Oryzias latipes: one gene and its partner. The protein of the gene in region 2 binds, or shares a complex with, the protein of the main gene of each other region. Links are inferred from orthologs where the notes say so. Each region holds a gene or a part of one and is shown on either strand. Other genes may lie near its edges.

Region 1 (4,145 bases), on a different chromosome or scaffold from region 2:
ATTTCGTGTGGAGGATATCCGGGATTCGTTCTCCTGCTGTCGAAAGAAAAACATCTGTCCAAGAAAGGGTCTGTTGTATCTGTGAAGCCTTACAGAGAAACACTCAGCAAGTGCACTTTGTAAAATCAAGATTTCTTTTACAGGCATTGTAAACTGCCTCTGTTTACAGTTTTGCAGAACACAACACTGTAAAATCTGCAGGTTTATTTGTGTAATTAATATTAAGAGACACTTTAGTGGAAAAACATACAAACTGTAAGCTTCAAGATAATTGGCAAATCTTTAAGGTGCAAGGGAAATGTAAGTGTTTGTGTGTTAAAATAAGAATAAAAAAAAATTGTTCTTCTTGTACCGATGCGTGGTTTCCCACTCGGCTTACGGTTGAAGCAACCCACTTCCTTTTGACAAATGTTTAAACAAATGTCTGTTTATCAAATACAGTTTTGTTCCAAAAACCTTATTGTGACTGATGGGTAAGCAACAGATTGTTATTATATGTGCAAAAGATACAAACTAATAAAGGACATCACAACTCACTACATCAGAAAACATCTCGAGTGAATTATCTTTTGTATTTATCTCTTTATTTAAAAACTGTTTTTGAAACGGCAAAACAAAGAAAATATGTACACATGTAAAATTTCTAAATGGGCATTATAACTTTAAAAAAAATTTAAAAAGGACTTTCCATCTTTAGAAAGCATCATACAGTACATTTAGAAATAGTTTTGGATGTGAGAAAAGGTTTACGCACAAGCAGTAAAAATTATTTAAAAATGTAAAAATTGTGAACGGACAGGTTTAAAAAAATGGTATTTACAGTATGAATTAATCTAAAAACTGTTTATTATTTTTGGTTTTGTGTAATGATTGCATCATCAATTTCAAAGCAAAAGAGCTGAAAAAAGCAAATGTCAATAGGTTTTGCAACACAGTGTTATTCGCCATCAAACTCAAGAGAAAAAAAGGACAAAAATGCTTTTGCCACAATGTAAATTACATTTTCTAAGATTAAGATTAATGTCAATAAAATTCACTTTTATTTTTAAAGTTCAAAAGATGGGTTCAGCAGTAAAATGGCAACTCTTCAATCAGATGCGTGCGTTGGTCATTTGCTTTTCAGGAGCCAAAACCCTTGGCCTGCAAATTTTTTTTAAAACAAACAGAAAAAAAGGAACAACATTTATTATTCTAATCTGGAATTTTTAAGAAATGTAGATGTAAAAAAGAAACAACACACACACAGAGTGACAGCTTTATATTTTAAGCATTTTCTTGAAAATTTAAATGTATTTTGTGGTTTCAAAAGCTACACATTACATTTTTCTTTTTAAAAAAAGGAAAAGTATCATTTTAAGATTTAACCATTGTGACGAATGGTTTGGTAGAGAAAAGTGTAGCAGTTGTGTTTTTTTTAAAGTTCAATGCAGAAAAAATGTATAAAGTAAAAATATTAATGAAAATATATTTTGTTTACATTGGAATAATACAATTTAAATGTATTTGATGTGATTTTAACATTTAAGATTTAGCCTAAATTAATAAGGCAACCTTTAGAAAAGTTATTTGCCGCTTTTAGTCATTTTACAACATAAAAAAGGAATTATAATGTAATTTAGTTAAAAAAAACCTCTTACTTTCTCTTGTAATGGTGTGGGCATCTTCGTGTCCTCAACCCTGTGGAGAAAAAAATTATTATAAATGTCACATATAAGATTGTTTGAAACGTTCAAGTGTGTGAAGAATGTTGTGGTTTCTGAACGTACGATTGCAGTACAGCGTGATGATGATGAGAAGCAGAAGAAGAAGGCCACAGCCTCCGGCTAGAGAGCCCAGTATAAGTGGATCACAAGGCAAGAGTGGTTTTGTTTTCTCTGCAAAAAGAAATAAAAATATGTATTTTCTGTCTGTCTTTTTCCTGAGTATTATTAGTAAAAAATGGTGATGAATCCTGACACCTGCAGCCGGCATGTGCGAGCAGGCGCAGCTCCTGGTGGATGCACGTGTGGAGACAGTTGTTGGTGGATGGGTAAAGATCATCGACGGAGCTTTTGTTGTTTCCCGCTTTTTCTCTTTACAAAAACAGTACATGGTTATTTCGTTTCGCAAAAACCTTAAAATCCACTTTGTGGAACCGAAAATTACCTCCATGCACGCGCTCAATTTCTCCAAATTGTAGCATGTTTCCTTTAACAAGAGCGGCGCAGACGTATGCGCCACTGTCGCGCGAAGCGCTGAAGGACTTCAGAGTCAGAATAAAGTATGTATCCTTCTTCTCGTGACTGAAAAGGTTTTTGAATTGCTGTTCAAACTTCTTTTCCATGCCAGTGTTGCTGAAGGATGCGATGAACTCCATGTTGGAGCCATCCAGCAGTCGGAACCAGAAGACCACGGTCCCCTCTGGAATCTGACACTTAAAATGTACAGTGGATCCTTCTTGCAATGTCCTATCAGCACATGTGGTGACTTCTACTTGGAAAGAACAGACATTAGTCCAAGTTTCAAAGACAGGCAGGTAGATATGACCATACAGATACCCAAATAAAAAAAAAGTTTTGGTCTGGCTTACGCAGGTAGAACACAAGAGTCAGCAGGATCTTCATCCATCTTTGGTCCATAATTGAATCTTCCAGACAACAACAGCTGTGCAGTCCGTCTCCGTGGTGTTTTTTGGATGCTGCCAGGAGATCATTCGATGTGAAATGAAGCCACGCCCCAGCTGCGAAGCCTCTTCTCTGTTGCGTCAAATGGGATCATTGCACCGGAGCGTTTGCAGAGCCTCCTGCAACGCACTCGTGGTCTGCGCCTCGTTTTGAAGTGGAGCCCACCCGAGCTGCAGCGCTGCCTCTGGTTTCAGGCGAGGCAACGCGATTTCATCCTGAAGTTATTGGCACACAAAGGTGGCAGCCAGTACGCGCGCTGACAGTGATGGGAAACGAGTGCGCGTGGAAAAAGGAGCTGTTAGTGCTCCTCTGAAGACGTTTCCAGAAGCTTTGCGCTGATGGTTGAACTTTAACCTGACCCATGCTGTCATCCATTTCTACAAATCTAATGATTGACATGGTTTAACCCTTGTGCTATCCTAGGCACTTTAACATTGGGAGTGGGGTCATCTAGACCCACTAGACAGTGCGCTGAACTTTTTTCTTCAATGATTTGTGATCTTCACTGTCCAAATCCTCTCCACCTTTATCCACCTTTGTCATGGTAGGGAGAACACGTCAATGGTCATCTTGACCCCATAGGATAGTACAAGGGATAATTATTTTACGCATAAGACAATTAATTTTCCAATAAAGGGGGCTATTAGTTTTTAGCCTTAACATATCCCAAACAGATATTTTTTGTTATGAATAAAAAAATACTTCATATCTGAAAATGTATTTTACAAAATGCTTTTAGAAAAGTGGTCGTATGTCTTGGTCCTATATGTGAAAAGTCTCTCTTTGAATTGACAAACGGACTCTGAATCTGTCTTTCTCCATCTCAGTATGTTCTTTTTTGGAGCCAGTTTCATACCATCGTAATTGCTTTGAAATGGAACTGCAGTTGTGTTATAGAGAAAACAGGGGTCTGCAACCTTTAACCCTATAAATAAAAGCCATGTGGTCCAGTTTCTTACAGACCAAAACCCACTGAGAGCCACAAAGTCCCACTTTACTGTTCAGAAAAATACAATTTATTTATATTTTTGTGGCCATCAAGCCATTTAAAAAAATAGCTTTTAAAAATTTACAATGAACTGTGTAATTTCACTTTGACAACTGCACAGGTTTCTTTCAAAATAAAATGCATCCTGTGTCAAAAAGGATCCTACTGCAGTAGATTTGCAATTATACTTTAAGAACTTTGTCTCTGACACCAACTACACATAAAATAGGACATTTGCTTATGCTAATGGTAAACCACTCTAATAAATCAAACTTCTTACCATCATTGCTTAGTTATCTGACATGTTTGCATTTTGGAGGAAAGTGCTCAATTCCTCTTGATTTAGTGTGATGTTAATAGCGTTAAAAAACAAAAAAGATCCCCTCTAGTAAGATCACCTAGAAGTCTAAAAATAAAATGAGAAAATTTAATTGTCAAATTTATTATTAATTGAAATTGTTGGCGGTTTTCTTCAAAGCCAAAGAGCAACAATG
Region 2 (3,954 bases):
CCTACCATTTTCCATGTATTCCGTAACAATATAGATGGGCTCCTCAGTAACCACGGCAAAGAGTCGGACAAGCCGCGGATGCTGCAAGTTCTTCATCATGTTGGCCTCAGCGAGGAAAGCTTCCACTGACATCGTGCCCATCTTCAGGTTTTTAATTGCAACTTTACTGTCATTATTATAGAGACCTGAAAGAGAAAATCCAGTTATTAAAAAGAAAAATCAGTTTAAATCTTTATCTACATATAGTTAAATTGGTGTCTAATTAAAGCTTTGGTTGAAAAAACAAATCAATATTTAAGGGCCAAAGGGTTTGAATCCTAGATAGACACATTAGTGACCACAGTGTTTGTTCATTTTAACACCCTGTCTCTCACCTTTTTATTATATTTGAATGCAAGCTAAGAATGTCTATAAAGGTTATTCAATGTATCGTGGACAGTTTATATTCAGTTCCAGACTGTTGACACTATTTGCCCTGGAAGCAGTTCTCATGTTATACTTTCACATTTCTAATTTTCATGAGTTTTCGTTTTTATACCTTTATATCTAATATTTGTGTAAAACATAAGCTAATTCTACCTCATGTTACACGATTTTGACACTTGACTCTAGCCAAACCTTTTCAATTTAATCAGGTAATCTAAAGGTGTCACACATTTTTTACAAGCAGGGACTTTTGATTGAAGGAAACCCGCTTGGCTGTTCAATCTAAAGACAAGAAGTCCCTCAAATTTATACATTGAACTTGAATAAATTGTTTCAAACATGTTTTTAGGGCAATACTCTTCATAAAACTGTTTACTGCAAGTGTTGGAAGCAGCAAAATTAGGGGACTTCAAAGTAATAGCGTCTTAATTTAACTAAATTATTATATATAAATGTGTAATAACAATTTGAACTCATTTTCCAAAAATTGAAAAACAATGCAGTGACTTTTTAAGCTATGTTGCATAGTGAAAGACAGTGTGAACAGTGTCTGCTGTACTGCTTCAAAGTTTCCGCCCTCAAAAATGGCAAAAAACAAAAGAAAACAATAATTTAAATGAACTTTGAACGTATTAAATTCACATCTCTCAGTGGACAAGTAAGTTTACGAGGTAAAAATTGAATGAAGCAAATTCAGCAGAATATAAAACAGAATATTAAAATAAAGGTTTGAAGTTTATAAAAAGGAAAACAAGAATAGTCAACATGTAGTCCCCACATCCATTTGTGAATTAAACTTTAGTTCAAAATCAAGAATCTGCTTTTTTTTAACCATTATGGACTACAATTTCTTAGTAGACATATTAAATTAATTTAAAAAAATATGTGTTCTAACTTTTCATAAAAGCTATTATAATTAGGAGCAGATTTTGTTTGCAGATGTTGAGCAAATGAAATATTCTTTGATAGCTTTTAATTGCTCAACATCTGGGGGCACAACTGAAGATTTTCAGCCAAATCAAACTGAATGACTGTAAAACTGTAAACTGTAAACTGATGTAAATATGGAGTTTTGGGATGATGATAAAAACAGAAGCAATAATAATATTATCAAGCATCAATTTTAGATTGATACTTTTTATTTTGACTACATTTTTTATGATTATTGAGCACAGATTTGTGCGCTCAACATGAGTGTCGTTAGAAATGATCTGCCCAGGTGTTGCTTATGGGAAAAATTGAACATATCATCTCATCAGAAACAATAACACAACGCTTTTGTTTTGTGACTGACTAAAGTATGTGCTGCACAAATATCTGAACCTCTTGCATCAAATCATCTGAAGGTACTTCTAATTTTCCTTTGTATGAAGCACCAGCTTCATTGACACTCTTCATGGGCCGTGTGAAGCGTGTCAATGAAGGAAGACGTTTTATCTTCAATGCAAATCCATCTTCTTATCTGCACCAAGAATCTTACAGTGACAAAGGATTCTTTGTATGCTGATATTTTCCTCATATTTGGACTATTTCATGCAAAACACTGGTCAACACTGCATGCATTACAACGCCTCCTTTAGTGCTTTTAATATTTCACATAATAAAAAACAAAGATGATATCCTGACTGCTTCTGAAATGCTACAAAACAACCATACTTTGCCCTCCACACTTGATGCGAGGTGTGAAGTGTTATGGCGGATGTGTTTAGTTTGCACCAAAAATGAAATTCTGCAACAATTTGAGGATTTCTTTTATGTGGAGGACTGTTCTCAGAAGCAGTACTACTGGGTATATCATTGGTCAGTTAGTAGTACTGTGATTTTGCTATTTTTTTAGTCTTTAAGTTGGCCAGATTTCATTATCTTAACGGAGGCCTGCAGAGTCAAAAATGCTAACAGTGAAGGACAACTTTTTAAATTTCTGTTGAATTTCTCTTTTTTGTCTGATTTCTGATTCTTTGATGGGACTAAGAGCCAACTCTTTTGTTTGAATGGATCAGGGGTCTGCAACTTTTAATGCTGAAAGAGCCATTTGGTCCAGTTTCTTACAGATCAAACCAAGAGTCCCACCTTACTGTTCAGAAAAATACACTTTATTTAAGTGTGTGTAACTATTAAGCTGTTCATTTATACATTGACGCTTTTATAAATTGGTAATACCTAAATTATAACAGTGTTAACCTTTTCCAAAGTTAACAACTTTAACTTATTTTACTTTTGATACAAATTCTGTAAAATAAAACCCACCTTGTCTCATATAAGATCCTCCTGCAACAGATTTACTTGCAATTATACACTTTTAAGAACTTTGCCTCTAATCAGCAAGACGACACTAATGTACCACAGAGGATAAGAATGTGTGCTTTAAGCTAATCCTAATAACAAAAAGCTCTGACCATCGATAAAACCTTTAACCATCACTTTGCTTAGTTATCTGACGTCTGCATTTTGGAAGACTAGTAAAGCACACAAGGCCTCTAATTTTATTAACCCTCTAAACCAGCTTTGTCCCTTTCGGGATCAAGGGGTCACTAAATATTAACATTGCTTTTAAAAACAGTTAATTTGACTGATATAAGATGTCCTTAGTTTAAGAATCTTAACATATATCACCCCCCAAAAAATAATTATTTATTCAAGATGGAGGGTTGAAGGAGCCACATGTGACTCTGGAGCCTCGGGTTGCAAACCCCTGGTATAAATGAAGCCATAATTGCTTAAAGTCAGCTAATTTGGAGTAACTGTAGCTGCAAAATGTTCAAAAACTTCAGTAAAAAATTGGATGTTTTTTAGCCAGGCTGTGTGAAATTGTTGTACAATTGTTACATCTTGTTTTATGAAACCATCTTTTTGACTGTGGATTAGAACATGAATCATTCCAACCTCATACAGAAAAATGAGCTAAAAAATGAAGCTTGTTTATTGGGAAAAGGCTCACCCATCCAAACTTCTCCAAACTGCCCAGCTCCAAGCCGGCGCAGCAGCTTGAGCGACTCTCTGGGAATCTCCCACTCGTCGTGCCACCACGGCTTCTGCGGCGCCCTTGACTGACATGGTTTCCCCAGAGTCGAGCACAGCCCATCTGCCTCCCCTGCATCACAAACAGAAAGTCGTGATTTAAACAGTTCCCACCTAAATACATTTCCAGAACTCCCTCTTGAAGAGGCTGCACTCACGTGTGTAATGCTGCACAAGCTCCTTCAGCGAGTTGAAGGAGATTTTGGCTGTGATGTAGAAGCCACCGCTGTCCAGGTTACGGATCCTGTAGTGCTTGACCCCTTCACCCGCGTTGTGGTCCAGATCTCGAATTGATAATGAGTATGACCCTGGTAAGGAGCACAGAGGTTAGATGAAGAACGCAGGAAATCTTTACAAATGAACAGACTTTTGCATATTACAAAGGTTTCCTTTTTTTCGGTTCAGTTAAAAAAAATCAAATCGCAGTAAAGCACAGTTGACCTTTACTTAATTATTCGTGCTGTTTTGTGTGACTGTTTTATTGGTGTTTTTGTGTCTTAATTAAATATA

Evidence for each region. Proteins that work in one complex are often made in the same cells at the same time.
Region 1: the proteins of lck (region 2) and uncharacterized protein LOC100125537 are in contact, whole or in part, in an NMR structure (PDB 1Q69), measured with the Homo sapiens proteins. The link is inferred for Oryzias latipes from reciprocal best matches to the Homo sapiens genes LCK and CD8A. Residues at the interface, in NP_001036236.1 of Homo sapiens: Cys20, Asn22, Cys23, Tyr25, Pro26, Ile27, Val28; in NP_001139345.1 of Homo sapiens: Arg212, Arg213, Val214, Cys215, Lys216, Cys217.

Annotation. Positions count from the first base shown.
Region 1 is NC_019863.2:17,111,502-17,115,646, reverse strand, and holds uncharacterized protein LOC100125537, read right to left. Parts: upstream 2,801-4,145; 5' UTR 2,619-2,800; coding exon 2,570-2,618; intron 2,473-2,569; coding exon 2,146-2,472; intron 2,073-2,145; coding exon 1,959-2,072; intron 1,875-1,958; coding exon 1,767-1,874; intron 1,678-1,766; coding exon 1,638-1,677; intron 1,141-1,637; coding exon 1,092-1,140; 3' UTR 318-1,091; downstream 1-317. UniProt on the Homo sapiens protein: Integral membrane glycoprotein that plays an essential role in the immune response and serves multiple functions in responses against both external and internal offenses. In T-cells, functions primarily as a coreceptor for MHC class I molecule:peptide complex.
Region 2 is NC_019880.2:16,845,560-16,849,513, forward strand, and holds part of lck (tyrosine-protein kinase Lck), read right to left. Parts: intron 3,753-3,954; coding exon 3,603-3,752; intron 3,518-3,602; coding exon 3,365-3,517; intron 186-3,364; coding exon 6-185; intron 1-5. UniProt on the Homo sapiens protein: Non-receptor tyrosine-protein kinase that plays an essential role in the selection and maturation of developing T-cells in the thymus and in the function of mature T-cells. Plays a key role in T-cell antigen receptor (TCR)-linked signal transduction pathways.